Alligator mississippiensis: one gene and its partners. The protein of the gene in region 1 interacts with the protein of each later gene in a pairwise test. Links are inferred from orthologs where the notes say so. Each region holds a gene or a part of one and is shown in the gene's direction. Other genes may lie near its edges. The genes, in order: GADD45G, AFAP1L1, EEF1A1 and LRIF1.

What was found.
Region 2: the proteins of GADD45G (region 1) and AFAP1L1 interact in binary tests that used the Homo sapiens proteins (3 or more experiments, as listed by UniProt). The two-hybrid records come from large-scale screens. The link is inferred for Alligator mississippiensis from reciprocal best matches to the Homo sapiens genes GADD45G and AFAP1L1.
Region 3: the proteins of GADD45G (region 1) and EEF1A1 interact in a two-hybrid assay, tested with the Homo sapiens proteins (2 studies listed by BioGRID and IntAct). The link is inferred for Alligator mississippiensis from reciprocal best matches to the Homo sapiens genes GADD45G and EEF1A1.
Region 4: the proteins of GADD45G (region 1) and LRIF1 interact in binary tests that used the Homo sapiens proteins (3 or more experiments, as listed by UniProt). The link is inferred for Alligator mississippiensis from reciprocal best matches to the Homo sapiens genes GADD45G and LRIF1.

Annotation. Positions count from the first base shown.
Region 1 is NC_081826.1:211,290,134-211,297,264, forward strand, and holds GADD45G (growth arrest and DNA damage-inducible protein GADD45 gamma), read left to right. Parts: upstream 1-4,784; 5' UTR 4,785-4,902; coding exon 4,903-4,955; intron 4,956-5,071; coding exon 5,072-5,173; intron 5,174-5,298; coding exon 5,299-5,512; intron 5,513-5,903; coding exon 5,904-6,014; 3' UTR 6,015-6,628; downstream 6,629-7,131. UniProt on the Homo sapiens protein: Involved in the regulation of growth and apoptosis. Mediates activation of stress-responsive MTK1/MEKK4 MAPKKK.
Region 2 is NC_081832.1:60,634,711-60,642,585, reverse strand, and holds the start of AFAP1L1 (actin filament-associated protein 1-like 1), read left to right. Parts: upstream 1-4,863; 5' UTR 4,864-4,956; coding exon 4,957-4,972; intron 4,973-7,875. UniProt on the Homo sapiens protein: May be involved in podosome and invadosome formation.
Region 3 is NC_081824.1:63,916,795-63,924,787, reverse strand, and holds the start of EEF1A1 (elongation factor 1-alpha 1), read left to right. Parts: upstream 1-4,987; 5' UTR 4,988-5,088; intron 5,089-5,626; 5' UTR 5,627-5,675; coding exon 5,676-5,819; intron 5,820-6,919; coding exon 6,920-7,099; intron 7,100-7,187; coding exon 7,188-7,484; intron 7,485-7,704; coding exon 7,705-7,855; intron 7,856-7,993. UniProt on the Homo sapiens protein: Translation elongation factor that catalyzes the GTP-dependent binding of aminoacyl-tRNA (aa-tRNA) to the A-site of ribosomes during the elongation phase of protein synthesis.
Region 4 is NC_081837.1:31,558,601-31,566,391, forward strand, and holds the start of LRIF1 (ligand-dependent nuclear receptor-interacting factor 1), read left to right. Parts: upstream 1-4,774; 5' UTR 4,775-4,890; coding exon 4,891-4,955; intron 4,956-7,791. UniProt on the Homo sapiens protein: Together with SMCHD1, involved in chromosome X inactivation in females by promoting the compaction of heterochromatin.

The DNA of each region.
Region 1 (7,131 bases):
AGGGACACTTGGAAGATTGAATATGTGCAGATACACCATTTCAGTAACTGCGTACCCAAATACATACACTTTTTTTGTTCTAGATTACTTTAACCAATCCAGATGTGTTAAATTATTGTCTATTCCTTTTCTTCCCCTCCCTCCAGCATGCGTGTGCACGCACGCATGCACGCACACATGCACGCATGCACACACAAGCTTCGTGATAAGTCAAAGTTCATTAAAATTGTGATTACAGTCATCAGATTGCAAAGCACTGCATGAGTTTAGAACTTTCTGGCCCCATTTACATGAGACGTTTACTATGTAGTAGCTAGTTATGACTGTGCAGTAGTGTTGCGTGGCATGAACTGTGACATGATGCTACTGCGCACTAATAACAAGCTACCACCATGCAGTCAGTATCATCAGGAAGCCACGTGGGGATACCACTGCGCAGTAATGCCGGTTATTGCATAGTCATTCAGTACTTGGGTATGCAAGTACTAAATGACTGCGCAGTAACAACTGCACAGTCAGCATCTCGTGTAGATGTGGCCTTTTGCTACTTTACTACACTTGGAGACTGGAATTCACTATAAGCAGGCCCAGTTTACCTATATACAGAAGTAACAAGCACCTTTTACTTAAGCCATCCTCACTAATTGAATATGAAACTTGCAGCCACTGCTAAAACCAGAGGTTATTCTTGTAAAATGTAAATGGTGCTTACATTCGCAGAGTGCATGTCTGCGTACACCAGAGCTAAATTTGGCCTATTATCACTTTCCAGATAAGTAAACAAAAACAAATTATGATTTGTTCGAGACAGTCCACAGTAGGGGCAGGATTATTACACAGATGTTCCTGGCTTCTAGGCTATGCACATTGTATTAAATCAAATATAAACAAATTATTTGTTGGGGAAAAAAAAAATTTAAAATATTCTAGATCAGTCCTATTTACTTTTGAGTTCTTGGTATTACTTGAAAAATGCTCTGAGGAAAGATTCAGGTATATCTGGTACATGCTGTTATACATCTAGTATATTTTGTATCTGGTGTATACCTGGTATATCAATTAAACAGCAATTCTATAGGAAACTATTGCTGGAGCTTGAAGTTCAGGAACCGACCTATAGCTTAAAAAATCTGGAAATTTTGAGGCCATTAGATTTGCATACTGATGGTGTTGTGTTTGCAACAATAGTAGGAATTAGAAATAAAAGTAAGAGGGTATGTGACAAACTCGAAACCTGTTCAGCTTGAGGAAAACTTCAGCAACAATGGTATGTAGAAAAGCTGAAACTTCTGTATGGACAGGTGAGATTTAGCTCACATCACTTGTGTGATAAGAGAAGCAGGACTGTCTAGTCAAGACAATGCTTGATCTAGGATTTCCAAATAAAATACTGAAAAGGACCTTTTCTGTGGTCTGGATCTTCATACCTTAAGACTTGTAAAGAAAGGCTCTGTGGTAATGGGATACAGAGCCTTTTGTTTCTTGCCTGCTGGATCAAGTCCAGTCCAAGTTAGTAGCGGATAGAAGTCATTAACTGATGATGGCCCTCTCATGGCCTATATAAAGTGAACTGATGCTGGGATCAGTCCACTTTTTAGGAGACAGCTATCCGTGTAACAAACACAGAGGAGATGCCAGTAAGTGAACAGACACAGGGACCAAACTATTCTCTATTCTTTAAACCTGGGATGTCATGGGGAGTCTGTAAAATCTGCACGTCTTTGCCAGTTCTGTATGGATAAATACAAAGCTTCAGAATTTAATTAAGTCAGTCCTGTCTTATTCACCCTAAATTCATTTGGAAACATTCTAGCACCTCAAATTGACCTCTTTTCAAACTGGATGCATATAAAAGCAAGTTATTTATTTATTTATTTTACCAAATCTATGCCCCAGTCATAGGATCCAAGAACTGGAAAGGACCTCAAGGGTCACTTGGACCAACCCCAATCAGAAATTTGAACATATCCAATTCTGTGAAGAGCAGCTTTTAAAACTGATTAGTCTCTCCCTTTAAATATCACAGCCCCAAACCTTTAAATAGAAAGTTACATAACTGATTTTCACTAACCAAAATGAATGAGGGTATATATACTGGAGTTAGTATAATATATGAAAAGAAATGTGTGTGTTGGGGGAAGGGGGTTGCAATATATGATTTAGGTGAATAACTAAAGCATGTTCTGAAAAATCTATATGAGCATCGTATCAGTTGTATTCCGCTTATCTAGGTAGCACAGGTGTCATACACTTACAAATAGCGGCTTCCATGCATTTAATAATTAACCCCGTGGTTTTCTTTTTTCCCCAGAAGAAAATAACTGTCTCCTTTTTTTGCTTAGGTAGCTATTACATCCTGAAGCCACAAGGTGGCAATTCAACTTTAATGTTGATTATTACCATTCTCCTAGAAAATGCAAATCTTAGGTGTGAAAAAACAGCTGTCCCTGTATTCTGTAAGGAGCACAGTGAATTAGACATCACCTTCAGAGAATTTGCTCATAGATTACAGCATCATTTATGTCCCTTACTGCGTTTGCCTACAGTGGCTCATTCCTTTTTCCAGTAAATCCTTCTGCTGCTTCTGCCCAGTGCTTCCAGCAAGGACAAGATGATACAATTCTCAGCAACGGAAGTTTAGGTGAGGTATTAGGAAAAACTCTCTCACTAACAGGGTAGTAAAGCACTGGAATAGGCTCCCCAGAAAGCGTGGTGATTGTGGAATCTCCATCTTTGGAGGTTTTTAAGACCTAGCTAGACAAAGCCTTGGCTGGGATGATCTAGTTGGGGATGGTCCTGCTTTGAGTAGGGGGTTGGACTAGATGACCTCCTGAAGTCCCTTCCAACCCTCATTTTCTGTGATTCTGATTTAGCAGCTGGTGTTTAAATGTCCAGTAGATAGCACTACTAGCCAGCATTACAATGCGGCCAAAGTAGAAGGTAGCAACAGGGATTTCAGGGGAAATGAACAATTAAACTCCATGAACGTAAATGACTTGCAGAGCTCATAAAACAGGAATCAGATTTTCAAGGTAAGCAGGTACATTTGGCCCAGCCTGAGCTCAGAAACCCAACCCTGCTACAAACTATGGCTACTTTTTTGGTGTCCACAAAAACCATCACACACTGTTGTACCTGGGTGGGGTGGAGATTTATTTGCATAGAGCAAACGGATAGATGGTCAGACTGGTATGGATTGTAGGAGTTTTTGCCTTGCTCTGTAGTGGTGGGGCACAGTGACCTACCCAAGACCTCTTGGGCATATATTGATATATTAATCGAAGCAGGACACTGGGTGCCCTGGTTCCCTGGCTTTACCTGTAGCAGGTTAGGGTGCTAGGCCTGTGTTGTGTCAGGGTTGACAGAAGTCTTACATAGTTTAGATTCTGGATTTATGGGATGGTTGGATAGGGATGATCCTGCCTCAGGCAGGAGGTTGGACCAGGTGACCTTTGTAGGTCCCTTCTTGCCCTACTCTCTCAGACTCATCCGTTTCCCTGCAGTTTCCTGAAAGATAAGGGTTAAAACAAAGGGGTAAATGATCAAGTCTTTAGCTTGGAGACGATCATTGCGTGCTCCCCAGGCCTCAACATTCAATTTCAATTGCCCCATGGAAGTGTGGGCAAGTGGAGACATTCATCTGCACCAACAGCTTGGACAGCACCAGAGAGTAAAGCGATTGTTTCCCCCTTGCTCCCCCCCTTGCAGCCCAGCAGCAAATCCCCACCCCAGTGGCAGGTGGACAGTGTTGCTATGAAGGGGAAAAAAAAAAAAAAAAGAATCCATTGTCTGAACTCCAAACTGCCACACGCCAGACCTCCGCCATTGTGCGCCCGCTATAGAGATGCAAAGCAGCAGCGTGTGCCATCCACAATCTGCTCCGTGCAGCGGCTCATTACTCATGCAGGCCCGGTGCCCTCCTTGCTCCAGGCTGCGGGGAGCATCTCGGCAGTGGGGCACAGGGGCAGTGAGGAAAAGAAAAGGGGGGAAAAAAAGTAATTAAAAAAGAAAAGAAGAAAACTAACCCCCCCCAAACCCACAAAATAAAATAAAGTCAATGTTAATAAAATAAAATGCAATGACACAAAAGAAAATGAAATGAAATACATAAAATAAAATATTATAAATATGATAAAAAACCAAGATGCACAGAAATAAAATAAATAAACTATTAAAAATAACTAAAATAAGCACTACTAAAAACAGTCATAAAGTAAACAATGAAATAATCAAAATGAAACAATGCAATAATAAAATGAAACAATCAAAATAAAAGTAACAAAATATAACAATGCAAGAATCAAAATGAAATAAGAAAGAAAAAGAATGAAATAATCAAAAGGTCAATAAGATAAACACAAAAAAATAAGACGATAAAATAAACAAAATAAAAAAAACAAAGAAAAAAATGTCAATAACTAAAAATCAAATAAGCAGCGTGCAAAGGAAAGGGGCAACACTTCCCCTCCCCCCGAGCAGAGATTTCTGTTTGTGGTGAAGCGCAGGCCCCTCTCCCCGGCCGTGCAGCGCGGCGGGCCGCGTGCAGGGTGCAGCTGGCCGGGCGGGTGCAGATGCGGCGCCCCCCGCGCGGCCCCGCAGTCTGCCCGGCAACACCCGCACCACAGCGGGACCCGCCGCCGTGTCAGCGCCCCCCACGTGGCCCCGCGGCACGAGCCGGCCCCGCCCCTCGCCTGCTTTGCATCAGAATACTCGGGCCTGCGGGCCAATCAGCGCCGCGGAGGCGCCCCCAGCTGCCGGGCGGCCTATAAAAGGAGGCGGCAGCGCTGCGGTAGCATCAGTGTGCTTGTGGGTGCCGAGCGCGGGCAGGGTAGGGGCGAGCGTAGCGGTCTGCGAGTGCCGCGTGTGGATACTACAGTCTGTGCCTGCGTCGGCAGCAGCATCATGACTCTGGAGGAAGTTCACGGGCAGGAGCCAGTGCCGGAGACGGCTGATAGGTGAGTGTCTGCTGGGGCTGGCACTGCGGAGCCTGTGGTTGGGGCTGCACTTGACTGGCTGGGGCTGACGTGCGGTTCAACTGGGCGCTGACCCCCTCCTTGTGCCTCTCTTGCAGGATGCAGGGTGCTGGCAAAGCCCTCCATGAGCTCCTGGTATCGGCGCAGCGGCGTAGCTGCCTCACGGCCGGCGTCTACGAGTCTGCTAAGCTGATGAATGTGTAAGTCTGCAGCCAGTGTCCTATTCCCCAGCCTGCCCATCTGTCCGTACAGCCACCTCCCTCCTTGCCTGGTGCGTGGAGCCTGGGGTTAATGGATGTCTGCCTCTCCCTTCCCCCCCCTGCAGGGATCCAGATAACGTGGCGTTTTGCGTGCTGGCCATGGATGAGGAGGACGAGGGGGACATTGCCCTGCAGATCCACTTCACTCTCATCCAAGCCTTCTGCTGCGAAAATGACATTGACATCGTGCGGCTTAATGACACCCCCAAGCTGGCCAAGATCCTGGGGCCTGGCGAGGAGGCGGGCGAGCCCAGAGACCTCCACTGCATCCTCATCATGGTGAGTGGCTGGGCTGGGTTTGTGGGTGCTGTGGGCATGGCTGCCCTCTGCAAGCAGCTTGGCATCTGCTCCATGGGTGCCCTTGGGGTGACACTAGTAAGTGCTTCTGCTGGAGACCCCTTCCCCAGTCTGAGAGGTGTGTGTGTGTGTGTGTGTGTGTGTGTGTGTGTGTTGGATACTTGTCTGATGCTACTTTAGCATGAATTTCCCCACCTCCCTGCAACTTGCCCCACAAAAAGCAAGGTCCTGCTTGTTCCCCTTGAAGGGGATGTGCCAATTTAAAGGGCTAAATCCACTCCTTTTGTGCCAGCATGCTCTCCCAGCTCAGTGCTGCTCTGAGGACCAGGAATGTGTTTACTCATGGAAGCTCTCCTTTTTTTTTCTATTGCAGAACCCCAATGGGGTTGCATGGAAGGATCCAGCCCTTGAAAAGCTGAACTTGTTTTGTGAGGAAAGCCGGAAGGTCAATGACTGGGTGCCCACAATCACCCTGCCGGAGTGATGAATATCCAGTGCACTAAGAAGGCTGAAACCTTTGTTGCATTCTTCTCATGGTGTTGGCTCACCCGGTGTGCAACAAGTTGCTGATTCTGTGGATTAGCTTGGTCAAGAGATCGGATTGAGTCGCTCGGACTGGCACCAAGCAGGCTCTTGTGGAGAGAAGAGGAGGATGGCTCGTGCCAGCAGGTTGGCCCCACTATGCAGTGGGGCTAGTGGAGGGGCTGGCATACTATGGAGCTGAAGGAAGTACTGCAAGTTTCCAGGAGCTGAAAAAACTGCAAGTTTCAGGGTCGAGTGGAACTGTTCCAGAAGGCAGGACAGAAGGTTGGGAATTGGACAAAAATCACATGGAAGGACTGGACAAAACAACATTGTAACTAGGAATTGTTGGCAATGTCTATGAAATATTAGGAGGAAAACTTTGATGGCCTAGTTAGAGACTTGTTACTGTGACGATACAAAGACTTTTATGCAGACTGTCTTGTACAGACTGACTTATCAGGCCTTTTGGCTACTTTGCAAAACTGGTTTGATTAATGCAATAATCATTTTTATTACTACTTATGCTGCTATTGAAGCATTTGTTTTTATAATAAACTGTTTTTTGACAAATAACTTCTGGTGTCTTGCTTACCTGGATAGGGAAAAGCTTTTGGAGATGACATGCATCCTTTTATATAATGTATATTTTCTCTTTCTACCCCCTTTCCAAATGCCTGTTCTCTGGCAGCTAATGCATGGAAATGTGCCTTTACTAGGAAAGACTCTTAGCTCTGAGAAAGTAGCTGATTTTAATTCAAAGCATGGCTCTTCAAAACTGATAATTTGACCTTTCACCCCTTTGCAACAGCTGCTTACCGCAACAGCTTGCAAGACTGAAGGGCTGCATGCTTAATGACCTTGTTTGTCATAGGTGGCTTCTACAGACGGTTTCTTTAGTAGAGTAGTCCAAGAAGACTTGGTTTCAGACTTCCTGGTGTTGCAAGCAGCTTGCTCTCTGAACAAAAAGCTTTGCATGTCTAATATCTACATGTATTTAACCACCTTACTGGGGGGGAAAAAAAAATCTTGTAGCAGCCATGTCTTTGCACTTACTCTCATCAATAACATTATTTCTG
Region 2 (7,875 bases), on another chromosome or scaffold:
CTGGTTTGTAGTAAACTCTCTGGCCTTTCTGAGTGCCTGGCCTCCCTCAGAGCCTCACTTTCTCAGAAGCGCTCGTGTCTGTATATACCAGCTCTACCTTTGTGGTGGCAGGGAGAATGGGTATCTGCTACACATGCAGTGACAGATTTTAGGTACTCTCCTTCCTCCTGCCTCCCCAGCCCTTTCACGTCAGGCTTGGCTGCTGCTTTGTGGCAGGATCTTAGGGAAGGGGTGGAACTCTCCCCTTCCTGCCCATGGTTCTCCCAACTCCCTTGAGGCTGGCCCTCAGCACCTGTTTCAATCCCTGTTAGCAGCAGGATTCTTGGTATTCTCCAGGCACCTACTGGTGTGGGAGGGGTTGTCTTCTTCCTCTTTCAGCAGTCCCAGGAGCTGAGGTTACACTGCACAGGGAAGTGAATAGAGCAGGCCTAGACTACCTCTTCCCCTGTGACACGGGCTGCCTGTGCCCTCCCTACAGCCCTGGACTGTGTTGGTATCTGATGGAAATGGCATGGCACATGACAGCCATTTAGCAGTGATACAGTTTTGTTCTGCTTTCCTTTCCCCAGCTGCCAGCAATGAATATATTTGTGTGCAGCTCAGGGACTGCAGAGCTGAAGAGGGCATTGTGTTGGAAGGCTATGAAGGTTGTTACAGGATGCTCCACTGAGTCTAGGACAGTTGTACCTCTTCCACCTGGCTCTCAGCCTCACGCATTTCCCAGGGTTGGGAGCATGGAACATGCTCCAGTTCTGACTGTAGAGCTCCTGGTGATGAAAGTGCTCACCCCCTGCAATGCAAACACTGCAGTTGTGCCTAGTAATGTAACGAACAAATGGGTGAAAGATAAAGGATGGACTGGGTCTCTCCATTCCCCGCATTAGGAAAACAACCTCCAGACACTAAAACATGGGGGAAAGACAGTACAAGAGCTAGCAGTAGAGCTCTCTCTGGGCTGAGTTTTGTTCTGCACTTTCCCAGAAAGCACTCTGGCAGGTCTTTAACAACACGTGGACGCAGAGAGATTAGACTCATGATCCAAGGCCACGCTCTCTCTAGTTATGCCACATGCTTCCCCAACTCTGATGTTTCCAGACCACAGGGCTCCACCAGTATGGCTCCACCCTGCTCCCCTTGTCCATACCAACGCCAGCTTCACCTCCCATAGTGCCAAAACAGTAGTTTGTCTGTCACCTTCAGTCCCCAGCCTTCCCAGGCCCTTTACACAGGCCTTGCACTTGGCTCTTGCCCAATCATCAGGTCTGCAGAGGGCTGTTGCTGCTGTAAGGGTTGTAAGTGGCCTTGAACCCAAACTCCATATCGATCTAGACCTGAGCCTTGGAGAAGTCAGAAGGGTGCTTTAATGTTGTGGGCCGCATTTTAGATTCTCCATTTAGACATTGTCTTGAACAGCAACAGTCAGTACAGCATCCTCTTTGTTTGTCCAAATAGCTGGTTATGGGAGCTGCATCTCCCTTTTTTATTTCTTTTGCTGGATTTTTTCAGATTTTTTCAGAGTTGCTTAGTGACCAGCAGTATCCTGTTCCAGATCAAATCAGTATTGCAGTCTTCTGCAGGGGCTAATAAAGAATTTTATAAGGACTCTCATCTAACTCTGGGGTAAACTGTGGGTTTTTTGTTGGTTGTTTGGTTTTTTTACTAATATGCTATTTCAACACAAATGCATTTGCCTGCTGCCTTGTATGTTTCTCTGATTTTCTGTGTGTTTTCTTTGGCATGATTTTTTTGGAAAGTCTCAGAACTGGGCACTCCAGTCTATGGCTAGTGAAGCAGGGTCAGTACCCAGTATTGAATCAGTCAATATGTTCTTTCTTATGGGAGTGGAGTAATGTTCTGCTTTCACAAAGGGTATGGAATTAATGATCTAATGGATCTTTTCAATTTTTGTCTGCAATGGTCAGCTTAAAAATCTGCAAGGGATATTTTCTACTTTGGTTTTTTTCATCAGCTGGGTTCTGTCCCTTTCATCAAGTTAGCACCACCACAGAGGCCAGCTTCAGGTGCATGGTGAAGGGTCCCCAGGGAGAGGCTGCAGGATGTGCCTTTTGGGATGTTCTAAGATGAAGATGCCAAACTCATTGCACAAAGAACTGCAGTCAGGAGCTATGGAATCACCCTAGTCCGTAGCCTTGCTTTGCTGGCAGAGGGCACCATTGCAGATCCACCCAGTTGGCACCATGATGATGGAACAGCGGGAAGAAAATCACTCTTTAGCAAGCAGCAGTGGCTCTTTACACTTTTATGCCAGCGTGGAATCAGCTGTGGGATGAAGTGGAGATTGTAATATTGTGCTGGTAATTGCTTCTGTCTACTTTAGTGCAGCAGTAAATGCAGCCAATTGTATTTATAATGATTTCACCTCATAATATAAAACTGCAGCTCCCTAAATCAAACTCAGCTGTTTGGAGCTATAAGGAACCTCAGTCTTAAACAGCAGTGTCAACGATAACCCCCAGGGGATTCACGACTCCCAATATGTTAATAATAATAACACTAACAATAACAGCAGCACTTAACACTTACAGAGAGCTTTTCATTTCCAAAGCACTATACAAATATTATCTAAATATTCTTCACAAATCACTGGTAGAAGAGGCATTTTTATTTGCATTGTAAAGATGGGGAAACTGAGGCACAGAGTTGCTAAGTAACATTACATGAGATCATTGCGGTAGTCTGACTTGTCAGAAGATAACACAGTTGCTAATCCTCATCCCTAGCAGGCGTTTTCCTATTTTGGGGCGGGGGATACAGCAATGTATATGGCCTTCCAGAAAGATCCTGGCAGGATCCAGCCTCACTAGGAACATTTTTAACTGGGAGAGGCTTGCAGCTATGATTTTTCATTTTATTTTTGGACAAATTTGAAGAGCAGGGTGGAGGGGGCTTGTAGGGAAAAGAAAGGGAAGCTTTTGGGCTACCACCTGTGAAGGCTCTGACTGAGGAAGATGTGCTCGAGGTCCTTTATTTGTTCGCGTTGTTCCCTGGTGCTTTATCCTGGGGCATCTAGAGTCTCCAGGATGATCTTCCAGAAGGATGGGTAGAGCAAATGCTCTGAGGTCCTAGGGCCCAACATCTTGCCACCTTACCCTTCAAGCTTAAAGTCCTAATGCATTGTCATAACAGTAAGTATGATACAAGCTTGTGAATCTGGGATTTCTACTCCATAGCCCACAGCAAGAGAGACAAAGGGCTCTCTTCTCAGGTCGAAACACCCAGCTTAAGTGTGATTTGGGAAGGGAGGTATTGGGGATGGGGGTGGGGGGGGTTATGTGAGACAGAATGCCATGAGCCTAAAGATGGGAAAAGTGCATTTCCTTCACTTTTCTAACCTCATCTACCCAGATGCACCCTACAGCAAGAGGTGTGTCAACCAGCTCCTGTTAAAGTCAACAATAAAACTCCTACTGAGCAGGCTCGTGGGAGGTTGGCAGGAAAAGAGATTCAGCAGCCAACTACAAAAAGAAGGCAAAGGGTAGGTGGAGGAAGCTGCTTTCTCGAGGCATGCCTGCTGATGCTTTCAGAAGCAAGTGACCCTAAAGGAACCAAGTGATTTACCCAAAACACAAAAGAGCTGGGGGGGTGGTTCTTTGACTGGAGAAAATGGAGAGAGGACTATGATATATGCTAGTACATGCTAGAATATTTTAAGGGGACAGAAGACATCATATAGGGCTGTCTGTGTCTCGCTAACATCCATATCTGTGTGTTCCCAGGTCTATAGCACCCGAAGGTACATTCACACCAGCCCTTCCTTTCCCTAGGCAAGTCCACTGAAGTCTTAGGAAAAGCCGGTCCCTGCCAGCAAGTAGTGTCTCTCGCATCCTTTTCTCCCCCAGGATCAAGGAGGGGTGGGGCCTGGGGCACTAAAACTTTTTGCATGAAGACCATTGTTCTGGCCGATTCTAATCTGCTAATTTTAGTGCTTTGCAGGCACAACCACAAGCCAGATGGAGCCTAGTTAGTGATTCCTTTAGTTGCTTTGTAGGCTCCCGCTGGAGTCTGTCCCTGTGAGTCTGTCCCTCCGCCTTTAACCACAATTTGAGCTGGGAGGAGGAAGATGGGTTGGCCTTTTGTTTCAAGGGAAGAAAAGACCTTGCTTCAGCCCAGAGACCTAGCAGTTGTTCATTCCTAACCCTTAGGGCTGAGTCCTTGAAGCTTTTCCTCTGCTCCCCCATGCAGAGAAGAATGAGTAACAGGGGCCAGAATGCATCCCTGGCGCTTTGTCCCCATGCAGGCAGATGAGTGCCGTGGACCCCAAAGGGGATCCTGCTGTTTGAGGTGCCAGATCCCCACAATGCGCGGGGAGACGCGAGACCCCAACGGGGGTGACGGACCCGAGTCTTGCAGGGGAAGGACCTTTGGATGGACCGGGGCGCAGCAGCAGGGAGGAAGGAGACTGAACCGGGTTTCCCTGGGAGGAAACGGCTGGCCTTAACTGTGGGGTGCGGTTACTTGGGAGAGCCCCTTTCTCAGCGCCCCTCGCACACGTCTGTCTCCCTCAGAGACCCGGGCGCAGGTGCTGTTCGCAGCCCAGGGCCTGGCAGCGGGGAACCGGAGGAAAAGTCATTTTGTTCTTCAAGCCACCAGTCCTTCGGGGCCCCTCCTTTCTGCCTCCTGCCCCCCAGGGAGCCCTGGGCACAGAGGGGGCTCAGTCGGATTCAGATGCGGTCGCAGAGCAGCCGGGCCGGAGGGGACCTCAGGCCCCAGTGCAAGTCCCCGGCGGAGGGGGGCAGGGGCGTGGGCGCCCCCGGGGCCGTGTGCTGGCAGGGCCGGCCCGAGGACGGGGCGGGGCGCACCTGGCCGGGGAGCGGCCCGCCCTATCCCGGCGAGGGAGGGGCGGGAGCAGGGCACTAAGACCCCGCGTCCCGGCGGCGGCAGCACGGGCGGCGCTGCACGGCCCCGGCGGAGCATCCCCAGGGCGGCGGCGGCGGCATGGAGCGGCTGAGCGGTGAGCGCGGGCGCGGGCGGCGGCAGGTGCCGCGGGGGGACCCGGCTGCGGGGCGAGCCCCGCGCCTCTGCCCGCGCCTTGCTGCGGGGGGTCCGCGGAGGCCCCTGGCCGCACAACAGCGCTTCCCAGCCCGGGCTGCGGGGCCGCCCCGCTCCCGCCTGGCCCCTTATCCCCTGCAATCCGCCCCAGCTTATCCCCGAGGGGCCCGATCGCGAGCAGCCTGCTGTCATCTGAACGCCCATCCCTTTGTGGCGCGGGCGGGAGCAGCCGTGCTGGTCTAAGGACAGAGGCAGGCAGGGCTCGCGGAGCAGATGTGGTATCTGGTATTACACAGTTGGCTGGTCCAATAAAAGAGATCACCTTGACTCGGAGAACCTGGCCATCCCTGAGGACCCTGGTTTCCAGCTCCCAACAGCATCAGCAACGGGGACAGCCTTTGTGAAGGACAGCGCGGTGGCGCTCGCCGGGGTGGGGGCTGCAGGCACTCGCTCTTCCAGGGGAAACCGAGCCCTGCTTCTTCCCTGGTTATTTCTCTCTCAAGCAGCCATTCTTACCCTGGGAGAAAAAGCCCGGCCATGAGGATGGTTGTGGTTTCTCCTGGGAGAGCCACCACTCTGCTGGGAGGAACTGAACGCCTGTTACCAGGTCTATTACAAGGCCTGTCTGTAGGAGGTGAGGGACAGCAGCATGGGCGACTGGTGCCTCCTGAGTCGGGGGTGGGGGGCACTTGCCCCCCCAGCAGCCAGTCAGCAACTGAGGGGGGGTCCCCCTGCAACCAATCCCACCAAGTGGGGGGGGGGTCTCCCTGCGGCCAATCCCTCTGACCCTCAAGTGGCAGCAGCATGCCACTGACACTTCCAGATCAGCATGATTGGATTGCTTCTCCTGGCACCCCCACTTCCTGGCTGGCACTCTCAGGGGGAGCGCCGGCACTCTCGGCTGCCCCCCCCACCCACCCAGGACCACTGGCTGTCAGAGGGTGCACCAGTGCTCTCAGGGGGTGCATGTTCACCGCCGTGCACCTCCTACGCATCGCCACTGGACAGCAGGGCACTGTCTGAGCAGCAGAGGAGGTGAAAGCAACCTGGACTGGAAGCAGAAGTGGGTGACTTGGGGCTTTCCTTTGCTGCCCAAGTTCAGAGATTTGAGATTTGTTTTGTAAAACTCCCATGCATTTTAAGGATCTGAGAGAATAGGCGCAATAAGGAAAGTACCGTTTAAAAGAGGCGATCAACACCTCTTTGCTGGGTCAGTCCCCAGGAAAGCTGCTCTGCCAAAGGCATCTTGCAAACCACAGTCGAGCAGGGGCGGGCAGCAGAGCCGTACTGGGAGGATATGATCACCCTGTCTGGGGCTGCCATGGACACACATTCCAAGAGCACGGCTGTAGTTTGTGGAGCCCGTCTGCAGAGTGGCTGGGCTTTGATTTGTAGTTATAAATAAACCTGCTGTGCACTTGATCCCACTGCTGAAGATGATCGCTCCTTTCTGATCTGGGAGGAGCATCTCTGGACTGGAAGGGAGGGATGACTTTGATGTAAATGCAGTTGATGTAGCCAGGGCTGGTGGGTGCAACAGTGTCTAGCACAGTGGGGTCTTGGCCCAGGGCTGCGGGTCCTAGGAACAATGGTAACAGTAATAAATAGGAGGAAGAGCTGCCCAAAGGGTGACTTCTGTTTGGTAAGGTGAGAATACTCTGAAGTCCAGGAGTTCAGTCAAACAATGCCCGAGTCTTAACCCTGCGTTAGCACAAGGCAGACTCTGAAGGGCGAAGAGTTCCTCTTCCCCTATGTGAAAGGATGGGTGGTGTTTCCTCAGTGGAAATGTGTATGGGATATTTTCTCATTGGGAGTTGCTCAGTGTTTAGAGATGAGTGCCCATTTCCAGTGGGGGGTGGTGTTTGAGAGGGGAAGGCAGCTGCTCTTTGCCTCGCTAACTGACCCAGTCATCTCTCTGCTGCCCAGCCCTCTGGTTTACAGGCCTGCCATGGGTGTTGAAGAGACTTGCAGGTGAGGTCTGCATGATGCTGAGCCCGTTGCTAACTGTTCATCTTTTGGCCGGTCTGACCGCATGTCTACCTCAGCAGGAAACTAGAAATCAGGACTTGGATACTTTCTTCCCAGCTCTGCCACTAATTTTGTCTCCTTTCTCTGCCTCAGTTGTACCTGTAATGTGGGGGTGATACCAGCCTAGCAGAGAAGAGGGGTTTTGAGGTACACGTAGTTAACAAACGGCTGTCCCTGTCGCCCTGTGCACGCAGCCCTTTGAAGTGGTCCTGTGAAGACAGGACCAGCACTTCACACAAGCAGTGTCTGAGTCCTGCTCCCCTGCCAAGCAAGACCTGTGCAATCCTGTTCCCCTGACATGTTGCAGGGACCCTGGGACTCATCAACACTCACGTTCCTGGGACCAGCAGAGCATCAAACTAAAGGGCTGAAGTACAAAGCTGTCAACAGTAGCCCCTGTTCCTGGGTGTCCATTCAGAGACACTTTCAGTCTGGAATAGGCTGGCCTGGGCTAGCCCCTTGGCTGGTGCACCCCTGGAAATCCAGGACAGGCTCTCAACAGAGCAAAATGGGATATCCACGTGTAAAACAGCAGGCAAGAGACAGCTCCTGGAGAGCGGGGCAGAGTGGGGATTGACACTTACTTTAGCAGTAGCTTGTGTAAGAATAGCAGGATCTGTTTACCCCCAGTCTACCCATTCTGCATAGCCTCATTCTCCGAATAAGGGCTGGGGCTCGCTTGTGTTGAGAGCTGCTTTGCTGCCTCTTTCCTAGGTGCCTTCTATGGTAACTCACACAACAGTCATGCTCTCTGCTTGTAATGTTTATAATAAATCGCTGTTGGCACCCGGACTGCTCCACGCGAATGTAAACGTCTTGCTGTCCCTCCGTTTATCA
Region 3 (7,993 bases), on another chromosome or scaffold:
GTAGTGAGGCCTTGTATAAAGTAAGGCCTAGTAAATTTAGCCTTGAAGTAGTAAGGCCCTGTGGCATAGTTAAAATTACCCTATCAAAGAAATGCAAGGTTTGTACTGCTAACTGGTCAGTCTAAGGACAGTTGAAGTAAAAGGAATCTGAGTGGTTGTACGTTATCAGTATCATTCAGAAGCTTTAAATTAGCTGGAATATCTGGAAACCATTCAGAAGGAAGATACAGCTCTGTGAAAAGGATTAGTTAACTGTTACCTGGATCAGTGGGCCCGTGGACCTTGAGAAGCCCAAGGACTGCATTCCATGGTCCTTCCTGGTACCCCTTTGGACAGTGTCGTTCAGGGACGCCTGACTTCACTGAACTTTGTGAAAAGAGAAGCTTGCTGTGTATCAGGCATCAGAGGGGACTGCCGATAAGTTGCCGATGCAAATTGCTTTTGTCTGTCATTGTTTGCCTTGTTACTACGCGTAGTTGTTTTTGTTAAGTCAATAAAACTTTCTTACCTTTCTCCCCTGACCATTCTCTCAATCCCGAACCCCCTGCAGGCAGCTGGGACACCCTGACAGGCTGTGCTCCCCACTTACGCAACAGGCGGGGGGGCAGGCTGAAGCGCTGGTGCTCCCCCTGCGAACACTGGCTGGGGAGTTGGAGTGCCTGATGAAGTGCCGCAGCCACTTCCCGGTTGACACAATTGGCTGCGGGGGTCCCCCCCCCCCCAATCGATGAGATTGGCCATGGGGGGATTGGCTGCTGGGGGGGCACCAGTCACCCATGCTAGAGGGTCTTGCTACTTGCTCAGGGTCAGACCAATTGCCATACTTGGGGTCAGGAAGGAATTTGTCTCCCATGGTCAAACTGGTATGGACTGTGGGGGGTTTGCCTTTCTCTCTAACAGGTGGCATGGATCTCTAGAGCATATATTGACAATATTTATAGAAGCAGGACATTGGCTGCTGTGGTTCCCCTACTTTACCCATGTTCAGGTGTTAGATCTAGTTGGGTCAGCCTTTTGTGGAGTTATACTCAATAGTTTTCTTGTCCAAGGTAAACATTGACATTTGAGGGGCATATACGGTGAGCCCAAATTCTTGTAAGTTTGATTTCCTCCACTTCAGTATTCTGTTCCAACTAATTAAACGCTCCTCTTAATTCAAGTTGGAGCTTTCAGTTCTACTGCTAAAGATTAAATGGCAGTTATAGAAAGGAGGAGGGACAGAAGACCATTTTAACAAATACCTTGGACTCTTTGCCTGTCTTGTCTTGACTTGATTTTAAAGGTGTGTGCATAGAATGCGGGAAAAATCGAAAGTTGATTTACTAGTATTGTTAGAAGAAAAATCCATTATGCTAAAATTGACAGTTTTTCTGCATCTCTAGAAGATTGCTTTTTTTTTTTTTTTAAAGGCTTCTAAAATAATGAATGTATTTCTTAAAATCTTGCATGTCTTGCAACTGAAGATAAGCTGCTTGGTGTATTGAATTCATGGATTGAATCCCTTTTTCGGCTTCAACAAGTGAGGAGCCTTGTGTCCATATTAAGGGGTGTGATTGGTTTGAGAGTATTCACCAGGGATTTATTTAGCTTAGCTCCCTGTGTTGGATGAGAATGTGGCAGGATCCCAGTTTATGCAAGTTTTGCCTTCTCAGTAAAACAAGTAAGTACATCTGGAGGTGCTGCACAATAAACCCATATTGGATGAGAAAAACTGCCCCATCCTCTACTTTTGGTGGATGGCAAGGAAATTGTAGTAGTATCCTGTCAACAAGAGTTGCTGCTTATTTTGGTATCTGTCTAGCTGAATGGGTGCAACTGTCTCTGTCCCTCAAGGCCTCTTCCTTGCTCCTCCTCTTAAAGAATTCAACCTTTTTTCTCCCCGTCAAAACAGGGGCCCGCTTAGTCTTGTTTGGGACAGGAAATCAGGTTTTTCCCCTTTCCATAACTTTTAGATAAGGAACTTGGTAACTCCTAAGAGTGGCCATAGTGGCTCCTGGGGAGGGGGTTGGAATAAGCCTGCTTTTATGCACCTCTCCACCCTCCCACAGAAACCAAAAACCAAATGACAGTTCTCTGATTAGAGAGGAGTGGAGATATCCTCCCTTCAAAAGCGCAGGTCAACCCACTCAGAGCAACTGGCAGGGCAATAGGAGACATGGGAGAAGTCTGCAATGGAGAAGTGGAATCAAAATAGGCTGGAAAGGCTGGACGATCAGGGTATTCCTGTTACACCCTTTGCTTTTGTGCTGATATCCCATATGCCTCTTCAAGTGATCAAGAGACACTGTCTCTTGTGTTTTTTATGATACATAAGGAATGAATGAAAGAGATTCCTTAGAAGTAAAACCTTAAGTTGAGCTTTTAATACCATTTATAGAACTATTTATTTGTTTGAAAAACAGGTGATCCTTTTAATCTCTCCTCTCTCCCATTCTACACACCAAATTATACTAAAGCAATACCAATACATTCTCTGCTGTGGGTGCCTTTCCCAAACAAACTTTTATATAGAAACAGATGCCACCTACAAACTGAGATACTAAACAAATGCTTTGGGTGTAATTTCCAATGTTTTTATTAATATTTTGTAACTAGTTCCTGACACACTTCCCTGTAAGGTTACTGGTAGGCTTTCTGTCACGAAGCATCACTGTACAGTGTGTAAAGATTCTGTGTACTATATTCAAGGACTAGTGGGACTGACCTGGGTCGTAACTGTGGGGAAACTTTTTAAAGGAAGAAAAGATTGTGTCCAGGGCCTACTTGGTCCACCCGCTACCCATAGGTTTGTTAAGACAATTCTTTTATAGAAAGTACATGAGCAACAGCAACCACAGCATGAAGGAGGAGATTGCTAAATCAAACCAGTTAAGTTTGGAGATTTTAGATGCTGACACACTGAGTTATATGCACTGGCCGTACAAGTCACTGGTCACAAAATCAGTTCACATAACTATCGATGAACACACATGAATGTAGATTACCCAGTTTCACACACCTACATTTTCATAACTTGAGGCTTTATTCAAGTCTATACCAGACAGTCTCAGTCTTTTAGAAGTCCATACCGTACAGTCATATTGCCTAGTATCTAGAAAGTGCACTGAAAGTTTCTGTTGATGTAACCACGTAGTCCATGCCCTTTCATGGGTGGTTATACAAGGTTGGAGTTATACAGGTATGTTCTTCAGTGCACATTTTCCAGCAGGTGACGTTAATTTTCAGACTGTTGTACTACTGCGGGTGGAGTCTACATTTGGTTTATTTCTACATTGCCAGAAGTGAATCAGAGCCAAACGAGAAAATGCTAAGGAGGCATGAGCCATGTTAGAGCGGGCTGCTTTCCTGTTTCTCTTTCTTAGGCTCCTGATACACGTTACGTATATTAAGCAACTGACTAGTGCATCGCACAATAATTTTACATTGGCCACATGTGCAAAGTAAAACCTGTCACAAGTACAAAGTGATTATCACAGAACTGGTTAATTGTGCAATAAATCTAGACCAGCCACACATGCAAAGTAAAGATAAGCCATTAAAAATGACTGTCTGGCTAAAAGAAGAGGCAGCCAGCTACAAGCTTAGTGCTTGAAAATGCGTAACAACGCTATAGCTGGTTTCTGTCCAGCTTTGACTGTGGCAGGGCCCTCATTGTCTACAAAAATATGCTACTCCTTGAACTTCCTGGACCTTAAACGAAGGAGGCTGCACACGAGAGGAACAGGGGAAAACGCTGGCTGTGCCCCGGTCACTCAGTCAGCACCTGCTCTTTGCCAGTGTGGCCCAGACCTGTTTGTTGCACTTGGGGAACAGAAGCCTAGGCCCACCAAAAACTATAAGCCCCCCCCTTTAAAAGAAAGGCCACTGACAACTCAACACGACTGGTTTGGAGAAAAGACAAAAAAAAGGAAACAGAAAAGGATGTGAAATCACAAGTTCAAAACAAGGGATCAGAAGGGAACACCAAGCATAGCAGACTTGCCAGTGCCTGCTGCATGAAATGGGGTGCCTGTGGACACGGGCCAGTGAAACCGTGCCACAGGATGTGAGTGAAGACCACCCCACACTCACGTGAGTTTCCCAGGCCAGAGCCTGGCCTCATGCCTCCTTTGCTGTTAGACATGTTGCTGTCTTGGCCAGGGCCAGGAGGAGGTTGACCAATAGGTCCTGGGACATGGTGAGGCTGCAGGTGGCGACTGTGCACACGGAAAGGTGCAGCTCCAGCCTCCGCAGGACTTTCTGGGGTGAGAAGGGGTTGCAGCCTGGCGTGCTGGGGCGGGTGCGCACCGTCCGCCCCCCAGAAGAGCCATGAAGCATGTCTCCGTCCCTGGAGATGTTCACCAGTCGGCTGGACAGGCACCAGCCTGGAATTTAGGCCAGGTTTGCTCTGGCCTAAATGGTCCCGTGAGGCCCCTTCCAGCCCGGCCTTCCTACTATCTGCTGCCCGCCCCCAAAAGCAGGCACCAACTGATGTATCTCTGAGCGAAGGAACCGGTTTGGCTGCAAGTGAAGCACGCGGGGACCCAAGTCTGAGCCAAAAGAGGAAGTCTGCTCGGGGAGTCGGCCCCCACGGGGATCTCGCTTCCTCTCCCGAGGCGGCGGCGGCGGAGAAACGAGGGTGCCTCAGTCACCTCCGACCCAGCCACCGGCGAGGGCAGGTGGGAGGAGACGGGCCGCCTCAGCGCGGAGTAAGTGCCGCTCCCCGGGCTCCGAAGCGCGGCCCCGGGCGCCCCCTTGGGGACGCAGCGGAGGGGAGGGGGAATGGGGGATGGGCCGCGTGGCGGGGCCCCACCCGCGCAGGTGCTCTCCCGGCTGGGGGAGGGGCGCTCGGGCAGGGGCCGTCGTCAAAGTCCGGGCAGGGAGCGCCGACGTACGGCTCCGGGATATACCGCTGCTGACTTGAGGGAAGCAGCCCCGCCCCATCGCAGTTGGGCGGCGCTCCCTGCCGGCCCGGAGGGGGTGGGGAGGGGGAGCGAACGGAACGCTGGGAGCCGTGACGTATCCGTGGGCCCCGCCCCGCCAGCCTATATAAGGCCGGGCGCACACGCTGTCGGTCTTTTTCGCCACGGGTTTGCCGCCGTCTTGTAGGTAAGCCGCGGTGGCGCGGGCCAGGCCCGGGGCGGGCACAGTGGCAGGGGCGGGTGGGGCCCCGCGAGGGGGGGGCTCTGGTGGGGCCAGGGGCCGCGGTGCCGGGGAGGGGCGCGGGGGGCGCCACAAAATGGCGTCGGGTTCCTCGTGCCGGGGTGGGGGCGTAGCACGTGGCCGCCGCCCTTCCCCCCCGCCTCTTAGCGGGGTCTCAATTTTTCGCGGAGCGGGAGCGGGGCGGGGGGCGCGGGCCGGGGAAGATGGCGGCTCTTCCTGCCTGCAGGCAGCGCCACAAAATGGAGGGCGCGCGCGCGGCCCGGCCGGGCGGGACGAACCGCACAAAGGAACGGGGCGGCCCCGCCTTCCCGCGCCGCCCTGGCGCCGGGCCGCGGCCCCCTCCGGCCGGCGTGGGGGCGCTGTGGCCTGGCCGGGCCGCCGCCGCAAGGGTGGGTGGGTGGAGCCGCGGCCTTGCGTCAGCCGCTGCCCTCGTGGTCGCCGCCGCCCGGGCTCCGGGGTGACTCCAGCCTCTTCTGGCCCGCAGGTGCTGATTTTTCTGGGAGAAGGGAAAGCCTCACTCGCCAGCCGCCGCCATGGGCAAGGAGAAGACCCATATCAACATCGTTGTCATCGGCCACGTGGACTCGGGCAAGTCTACCACCACCGGGCACCTCATCTACAAGTGTGGCGGCATCGACAAGCGCACCATCGAGAAGTTTGAGAAGGAGGCTGCCGAGGTGCATCTGCGGGGGAGAGGGGAAGGGTGGTATGAGTGGGTATTTCCTGGAGTTGGGGGGTCTCTTTCATGTGCTTAGCAGAAAGCATTGTCTTGCCCAACTTAGAAAAAGTGCTGGTGAGGTGGCAACTGCTTGTCTATATGAGCCGGGAATCTTGTTCCAGGAGAATTCCAACCTCTGTTTTTAGCCTTGATGAACACCTTGATATTCTCTGCCCCCAAAATGCAGTTGCTTGCTGCAGTGTTGAAAAAGGCCGTGTCTACTCCTGGAGCCATAGGCTCCTAGAGAAGTCGAGCTGGGAGGGACCCCCAGAGGTTGTCCAGTGCATTGCTTTGTGCTTTCAAGCTACTAATACAAACAATAAGGTTGCAGCAGGGCAGTGTTGGGAAAGCCACCCTGCCTCCCCTCCTGTGCTCCCCCTGCTATAAATGGGGAACCAGGAGGAGCATGACTTGGCCCAACTTGTGTAGCTGGGAATTGTTCAGGCAGGCTGTATCAAATAGTTGATGAGTAACTGCTGTACTCCAAATTTACCTTTTTTAAAAGTGACTTATATGGGGCTTTGTCTTTAAAACTGAGTAATATTGGAGGATATTGCATTTGTTCCAAATTTATCATGCAATATCTTTTTTCTTTTTTTCTATTTGGACTATGCCTCAATAAGAATGACTCAGTAGGTGATGGCATTATGCTATCTGTGTAAATTCCAGAGGATAAACGCATACAGGCTAGCTGTGGGAAGGATTACAACGGTATGAAAACAAGCTTCCAGAGGACACTTGATCTGATGGACCTTGTGGAGCCAAGCTAACTTTAAAGATGTTAGTTGTAGTTAATGAGTTGTCCAGGGCTAAAGTGACATCAGGTTAAATAACAGAAGACAGATGGAATCTCTCACTAGTTGTGCCAAGTGTGTCTAGGCCAAAGCTGTGCTGGCAGCAGAAATCCCTAGTGCAGTAGAAGCCATCTGCCACTGTAGACTTTTTTTTTCCTGTCCCTTGGCTATCCTACAAATTGGGTTCCTTTTTAAAACTGCCACTTACAAAGTATAATGCAAGTATATCAATGACTCTTGTTTGTTTGCTTGTTTAATCTCCTAGATGGGCAAAGGTTCCTTCAAGTATGCCTGGGTTTTGGACAAACTGAAGGCTGAGCGTGAGCGTGGTATCACAATTGATATTTCCCTGTGGAAATTTGAAACCAGCAAGTACTATGTCACCATCATAGATGCTCCTGGACACAGAGATTTCATCAAGAACATGATCACTGGCACTTCCCAAGTACGTAAAATGAGAGAATTCTAGTGCACTTAGTTTTTTGTTCTTTATATGCATGTAAATAGAAACTTAATACTTCTCTTTTTCAAAGGCTGATTGTGCTGTCCTGATTGTTGCTGCTGGTGTTGGTGAGTTCGAAGCTGGTATCTCCAAGAACGGGCAGACCCGTGAGCATGCGCTTCTGGCATACACACTGGGTGTCAAACAGCTCATTGTTGGTGTTAACAAGATGGATTCCACTGAGCCACCTTACAGCCAAAAGAGATATGAGGAAATTGTCAAAGAAGTCAGTACTTACATTAAGAAAATTGGCTACAACCCAGACACAGTGGCTTTTGTGCCAATTTCTGGCTGGAACGGAGACAACATGTTGGAGCCCAGTGCTAATGTAAGTTGTTTGCTTATGGGGGGGGGGGTGTTCCCTCCTTTCTTTGAAGGGGACTATTGTGATACATTCTTCACCCTTTAGATGAATCTATGCACCTCAGTCATATTAGGCTTAGTTTTTAAACTGATAATTAAGTTACTTGGATGTGTTTTAGGATATTAGAAATGGATTTTTTAGGAAACGGGACAAATTTTAATGGTTGCATCTTATTTTGCCACAGATGCCCTGGTTTAAGGGATGGAAGGTCACCCGTAAGGATGGCAATGCCAGTGGCACTACCCTGCTTGAAGCTTTGGATTGCATTCTGCCACCAACTCGTCCAACTGACAAGCCCCTGCGTCTGCCTCTTCAAGATGTGTACAAAATTGGCGGTAAGGTGTTTTTGTGTGTGGGGGAGGGGAATAGGTTGTACCTTCTCCTGTATCTAATTTGTTGGTGACATTCCATTCCATAAGTTTAAAAAAAAGTGGTAGTAATTTCCCTTTTAGTGAGAGACTGTAACAAACCGG
Region 4 (7,791 bases), on another chromosome or scaffold:
TAGGCATTTTATATTAATTTGTGTGTTCAGATAGAATTATTTTCCCCATTCCTCCACATCACTGCCCCAGTAGGGATGTACATTATCTGTTTACACTTTACAGATAGAAGTGTAGCAACATTCACCAACTAATCCTCCACAAATCCTGTGATATAGACCTGTTGCTCCCATCCCACACAGAGAAGTGACTTCTGAAGATCAGAGCCAACCTTGAACCTCTGGTGTTCCTAATGTCCATATCATTCATGTTTTACCTATAAATGTAAAGATTTTTTGTTCACATGTTCTATCATTTCATCTGCAAATGGTCATCCCCAAATGTTGCAGCTCATAGAGCTCTAAAAAGTTTATGAATTTTACTTTTTTTCCTCTCTTTTCTCACTAGGTAATGTAGATGATGCTATAGAAATAAGTCTAAAGTGTGGACACAGAGAAGAAAATTCCAAGGAAGGAAAACTGACCAAGACTAGAGAACTAACATAATCTCTGCAAGGAATTACCCAGCTGGAGCCAAAGAATGGTAAACAGGAGCTCTGGGGCCTTGTCTGGGAGATCATGTGTAAATAGTTTTTTTTTATTGAAATGGGAAAATTCTTTCTACTTAACATTTTATTCTATAAATTGTGCGTGGTTTATGTTCATGAAGTATCCCCAGCACACCACACATTTTTCTCAAATGTTTTTGTTAGTCATTCCATGAATAATTGTATTGTCTGTAAATGCCTCTCAAGTCATTTGTCACAAGCATTCAATATTTGGTTGGACATTAGTTTTTACTGGACACAGTCCCAGGGTATTGCTTGATTTTTGCTGGTGTTCACTCATTTTTATAAATAGTTTTACAATAGTCAGTACAATTGGTTATTTTCTTTGCCAGTTTTCAATGACATATTTAAAAATATTTTAAAATATTAAAGAGTTTACACATCAGCTTTAAGGGTTTGATTTAAAATGCCTTGCAGATTAGGTTAAGAGACTTTCCAAAAAGTTTCTAAAATTGTGCCTGTTCCTCTGCTCCAAACCTGCTTTTGTGTTCACAGTCTTCCATTCAACAAACATGTATATAAGCATGTGTACAGTCCCGTTGGTTTAATACTGGTTGAGTACCTTACTGAATCAGGGCTGTAATACAATTTCTTCAGCATCATTATCATCCATAACAGTTCCTGCAAAATTATAAGATTTTTTTTTATTTAATGCATGGAAATATCTACCTTATTGAAATGGCAGAACTGTAAAATGTCCAGGGGACACAGAGTATGCCATTGCCTGATGTATATGTCATGCTTTTGTTTTAAATGGAATATTAATAATGATTATGATTATAATAATAACAACAGCTTCTGACATGTGCAAAATAGGGTCCTCAGAGAACCTGTCTTTCTGGGAATGGCAAGACCAACTCCAGCAACAATCTGGCGTTTACCCCACTCGCCACAGCACTGCGTGGTAGGATAATGGACTTGAACTTTGAACACGTTAGGAGAACATGAGTGACTGATGAAATCTGATTTATTTACTGAACTGCCACATAATTAGTTGGCATAACTGATTTATTTACTGAATTGCCAAATAATTAATTGGCTTAACTGATTCTTTGAATTAACTGCTGAAGAGTTAATTGGCCTAATTGATTTATTAGGGAACCATGGGGGAAACTGATCAGACTCACTGATTTACTTAGAGAATGACCTGAGATGCTAGGGGACTAATTAATTTATCTAAGAACTTGTGGGTAGAATTAATTGGATGGAATGATTTATCTAATGAACAGCTGCTGAACCTGAAGAGGCTAATTGATTTTGTTGCTTGGCCAGTAAAGTAAGGCTCAGGGAACACAGTACCCCATGGATTGGAAACGAGACACAAGGATAACACTGGGTCGGCATGTGGAAGGGGTGTGAGGGGATGTGGAGCCCCATACGTCTTCCTCATGGGCAGCTTGTGCAGGTTGCTGTTAATGACCAAGAACCCTCCCATTGACATTCAAGAGCAAGGCATGGCAGACAAAGAGAGGGTCAAACCACATGAGTGGACTACACTGAAAGCTAAACTGTCCAGTCCAATGAGTTGACACCTCAAGGGTTTGAGTGCACATGTACGATGACATAAAGCTTACTGGCTACACCTCTCACACCAAGATAGATAAAATCTCCTTGGAAATGGAAATAAACTGTAAAGCAGATCAGAACAGCTCACAAAACTTTACTACAGAGTAAAAGTGATGACCAAGACCAGTTCCCAATTTAATTTTTCACATTTCTTATTGAAAAACAAATAAATATAAGTTGTTCAGTCTCTTGGCCAACAAAATATTATACTTTATGGACCATTTCTTGAACCCCCCACCCTTTGTATGGAAGAACATAGTTATAGTTAACCTTTAATAGAAAAGGCTTCAAATTATAGACAAGCTTCTGAAATATTGGTTCAAAGTATTAACCAAAATTTCAGCAATCTGTTGTGACATAATTAAAACTTATTTACAGAGGTCAGGTAGAACTTATACCTGGACACCATTGCATACATTTTATCCAAAGTCTGTTAATCTAGTTCTTTCAACCCATTTGGAGACCAAATGCCATTCAGTGATATCTCTCAATACAGAAAAAGCTTTTAACTGAGTAGAGTGGCAATACTGCTTTTGGATCAATTAAATAATTACCTTTTCACAAAACTGTTCTCTATTGGCAGGCAGTTAGGTATCAATCACCTCAAGCAGTTTTGGTTATAAATTTGTTCCAATCTCTTCTATTTAGCTTGCACAAAGGGGCAGGGAAGCCCATCCTTCTTGTTCCACTGTGCCCCTTCCTTACATTGCTTGGGATGTAGAAGGAAGCAGACCTGCAAATGTTGCTATTAACTTGAGCAGGTAAGGTCTACATTTTGAGTTTAGAGGGACTATCTTTACATTAGGGTGAGAAAAGCTGCACTGAGCTTCATCCTACCCAGTGCTGCAATCACATCTCCTGATGTCATCAGCAGAGCTCTTTTACTTGATATGGCCTTTATTTTTGTCTCTAACCCATCTCTTAAACATGTAAATCCTTAAATTACCTTTAAAATATATCCTTCCTAGCATGTTTTAATAATATTTTAGCAGTGACCATCCTAACATATTTTTCTATAACACTTAAATAGTAACCATTCTCTTTCCTTCTCCTCTGAGAAGTTAAACCTCTTAAAAATAAAGTACTTCACTCCAAATGTTTCTCCAGTGAACAGTGACGTGGGTCTTCTAACCAGGAGCTACAAACAGGTGTCAGAGGTTAAGTATATCCTACCCTCCCAATATCGCTAATGGGAGGGTGGCCTTGCTAGAGCAGTGGGGAAAAGGCCTCAGGGTAAAGATCAAATCCTGGTCCTCAGGCTGAATGACTCTGGGACAGCATTGGTCCCAGCTTCCCCTTGACACAGTCAAACCATAGCAACTATTGTCCCAGTATCACATGCAGGGATCTGGGTTTTCTGTTCACTGCTTGAGGTGGAGGGGAACAGGACACAGGGGACACCACATGCATGTGTGCACATGCACACATGCATGTGGCCAGCAATACAGGCAGGCAACAGTGGAGAGCAGCTTCCCCAGCTGTCTACAGATAAGTCTATGCGGGGGGAGGGTGCATAGTTGATGCAGGGGGCAACAGGGGGCAGATTGAAGCCCCCCCAGTGAGGGAGAAAGTGAAATAGAGTTGGCAGCTGGGGCTGGAGGCACTGCCCAGCTGGGGCACCGCATGGGGCCTGGGGCCAGGGCAGGAATGTGCAGCCATGGGGCCTGGCTGGGGAGTGGAACGGTGCCATGAGTGGCTTGTTCAGAGGCTGGTGGTGGGGCTGCCTCCCGTGCTTCATGCACTCCCGTGCAGAGGGCATGGGGGAGCATGTGCCCCTCCCCAGATTTCTGTGCAGGGCAAGGGTGGATGTGGCCTGCCCACTGTGGGCTTGGGGCTCCCTGCCCTGCTGCCCGTCCCCCAGGGCCTCCGCGGCCCAGTGGGTGGGACCCGGCACAGGAGGGCAGAGCAAAGCAGGGAGGCTCAGTGTTCTACTTTTGCATTTTGAAAATGTGGTCACCCTACGTTAGAGTGGTTCCAAGATGTCATTGTATGAAAAATAACTAGGTTGATTTTGAGACCTAGTGATCTAGTTTAATCTGTCTGCCATATCCTGTACTCATCAATGGGGCACCTGCATGCTTAACAATTTTTTAAAATGCATTGAAAGGACTTGTTTCGCCCAATTTTCTAGTTCATTGTTAGGCTGTTCTGTTGTGAATCAGTTAAGTCAAAGAAGGTAGTTCTTCATTTTGAACTGAAGGCAGAGGTGCCTGCTGTCATCCTAACCCTTTGTAGAACTGGCAAACTGTGAGCTAGCTCCAAAGGAAATTCTGTGTCCAGGAGCCAAGAGACATGGTCCATGGATGATACTGGGGATCCCCAGAGCCACGTGCACCCTCGGGGGCGCGGGAATAATGTCTAAGAACCCTCATCTCTTGGCAACAGGAAGTCACTTTCACAGACCGGAAGTACTTCGCCTGGCGCCTGCGCAGAAAAAAAACCAAGCGGATAATGTCTCCCCTTCCTGTTCCACTCGCAAGGCGACCCGGAAGCCGATAGGCAGGAAGCCGCATCCCATTGGCTCCGAGAGAAGGACAATGCCGCGGGAGCCAGTAGGATTTGAGGGCGGTCCCCGAAGCCGGAAGTGCGTTGGGGCTGCCTTCTGGTTTTCAAAGATGTTTGGGGAAGTGACGTCAGCGGGCGAGAAGCGGTGGGCGGGGCTGGCTGCAGACCCCGCCCGGTGCCGGAGCGCGGACCCACTCGTCCGTGCGCTCGGGGCTGCGGGAGCGGCCTGTGCGCGGGGCCCTGGAGGGCGCAGCCCGCCGCCGCGCCCCGCGCTATGTCGGGGCCGCCGCTGCAGGCTCCCAAGCGGCCGGAAGAGGCGCCCGGCGGCGCCGCGCAGTGGTAAGTACCCGCGGGCCGGGCCGGGCGGCTGCCCTCGGGGCCGACGCCTCAGTGAAGGGGCAGCTGCCCCTAGCGGACGGAGCGCGCACTGCAGGCCTCACCTCGCCCCGCCTCCGGGACACGTGGGAAGGCGGCTCCGTTGTGACGTCTGGCTTCCTCGCAGCGTGACGTCATGGTTCCTATGCTCATTTGCAAAGTTGGAAGCTGGGGGCGTGGCACGGGCACTTTTCTGCACAAGCTGAGAAGAGCGAAGGCGGCTGACACCCTCCACCTGGGTCCAATAGGCCCCACTGCAGGGGGAGTCGCCATCGGGGGCCGATTTGGCCTTTTTTGCATCTTTTTTTTTTTTTTTTGCATTGCCGGTTCGATGACCCAGGAGCTTGGATGCCGCTGGCTCCTGGAGAGCAGGGTGTGTCCAGGGAAGGCTGGGCTGCTGGCGTCTTGCTGTGCACGCTTTTTTCCATGTGAAACTAAATCGTGTGCTCCCCCCCCGGGTGAAAATGCCATTTTTTTGGTTCTTTTTTCAATCACCAGCTTTCTTTAGTGGTCACTAAACACCAGAGTTCATTTTTTCAAAAGAAAACTCTTATATTACGATCTAGACCTAAGCTGGCCACCCAGAGAGCAAGTGATGTGGCAGAGCAAGCTAAATACTGGCCTCTTGATGAAATTCAGGCCTCTTGATGTGTCATTCCAGAAGCTGGACCAGTGGCCACCAAGTACAGCTAAAAACTCCCCTTAGTAAGGAAGAGGGGGGCACTACGGGCACATCAGTGATTGCTTGGGGCAAATAAAATACAGAATGGGGATGGGAGTGGAAGTCAGAGGTTTAAAACACAAAAATTTGCACCAAGGGGAAACACTGAGCAGAGCACATTGGACAGTTGTCGCTGGCTAAATATAGGCAACAATCTTCCAAAAAAAGAGTGGGTCAGCCTCTGTAACAACAGAGGGGGATGGATGACTGTTCCTGTATGGGAATAGACCCATGTTTCTTCTGTGTACCAAAAAGATGGAGTTAGAGGTCAGCTAATACTATACCTACAAAAAAGGCTGTTCCCAAAGGATGAAGTGATCGGCTACTAGTGAGGGGGGAGAGGCATTCATTTTGCCTCTTATTCCCTTGGGTTCACACGCAATAGGGCTCTGATACTTTATAGGTATCTCTCAACAAGAAGCATCTTCCTCTGTAGAGGAGGCCCTCTGCAGCGCTCTGCCCAGAGTAAGGAAGGGACTGCAAGTGTTACAGGGTGGATCATTTTCTCCGTGGGTCAAAGGCAACTTCTTTTCAGAACATAAGAAGGAAGAAGACTTTTTCTGGACGTCTGATTAAATCACTGCTTTTGATGAGAGAGGGCAGCAACATTCTCACTTGAGCCTTTTTCTAATCAGTCACTCTCTTAGAAAGGGTTCAGAACCTCTTACGGGTGCAAATTGCATCTACTCAATGAAATGCAGGCTTTTAGTCATTGACATGGGCCCTTGTTGTCAACAACTGAGCCAGGGACCCTGAGCTGGTCTTGTCTCCTGGATAGAACATTTATTAAAAGAGGACCTCTACAACGTTATGATGAGCTACATGCAAGTTCTCATTCATAAATTTCCTGCCATAATGGTTACTGAAAAATCAGGGGTACATTGACCTCTCCAGCAAGTGGGATTTACTTGTTTACCTTCAGTTGAAGTTCTGGCATTTTCTACCATCTTTCTTCTTTTTTCCCCAAGAAGCAATTGAGGAAACTTCAACTAATCTAAAATTATATCAACACAAAGGAGATTAGTACACAAGAGCCTCTTCTTTGATCAACTGTTCCAGTGAAAATGATGAGGAATGTTATTCCTCAGACTCAGATCTTGCTGATGTCAAATCAGGACAGTTAGTTTCCCATGGCACTCTTATCAATGGGAAAAATCTGTTGGACAGATGAGTTTAGAAAACGGTAGTCTGGGGTAAGTGTTTAAACTATAAATATTCCAAGAGAACATTATTTTTTAATTCTCAACCTCTGAAAATCCAGAAAAGCAATGGTTTATTTGCAGGGGTCTTTCTATATTGAAATCTTGTGTCTGTAGAAAAGGCACTAGTCAGAATAATGCCTGGATTATATCTGGGTTTAATCATGTCAGTGAAATCCAAACTTCCTTAATGTCTACACGCCGGTCACTACCGTGACTATAGTTTGTGGAGATGCACTTGACCTGGCTACCTGGGGTACCATTCATTAGAGCTGTGCAAGGCTTTGGACAGAGCTTCGGATCTGGAGAAGCTTCGGACGCTTTGGGGTCCGGAGCAGAGCGTCCGGGTTGAAGCGCTGCCTTGTTTGGCTTCCCGAAGCAGTTCGGAGCCCCCTCGGAGATCCAGCTATAGGATATAATGGGGAAACAATAAAATATCTGTAACTTTGTTGTTTTTTGTCTGATTTGGATAAAATTTTCAGGGGTGGAAAGCTCTGCAGAGAGGATGAAGCCTGCCACGTTTCAAGAAGATAGGTGCAGGGGTTTGGGGGGAACTGTACCCGAAATTCTTGAAAGCAAAACTCCTGTCATGTCTATGTGTTACAACACAGAGGGGTCAAAACTGCAGGGCTGGTAGCACTTACTGAGACCACAAAGCCTGCCAAATTTCAAGAAGATGGGTGCAGAGGTTTGGGGGAACTGCCCCTCAAGCTGCGTGCGGACAAGCAAAACTGGTGCCATGGGTGCTTATGGAACTGTGTCTGTCTTGGGGCGGGGAGGGGAGACACTGCTGCAGGCCTGGCTGCTAAGCTGCTGTGTTCCCAGTTACTAATCAATCAATCAATCAATCATGATTCACTCAGGGACCAGGGACTCCAGG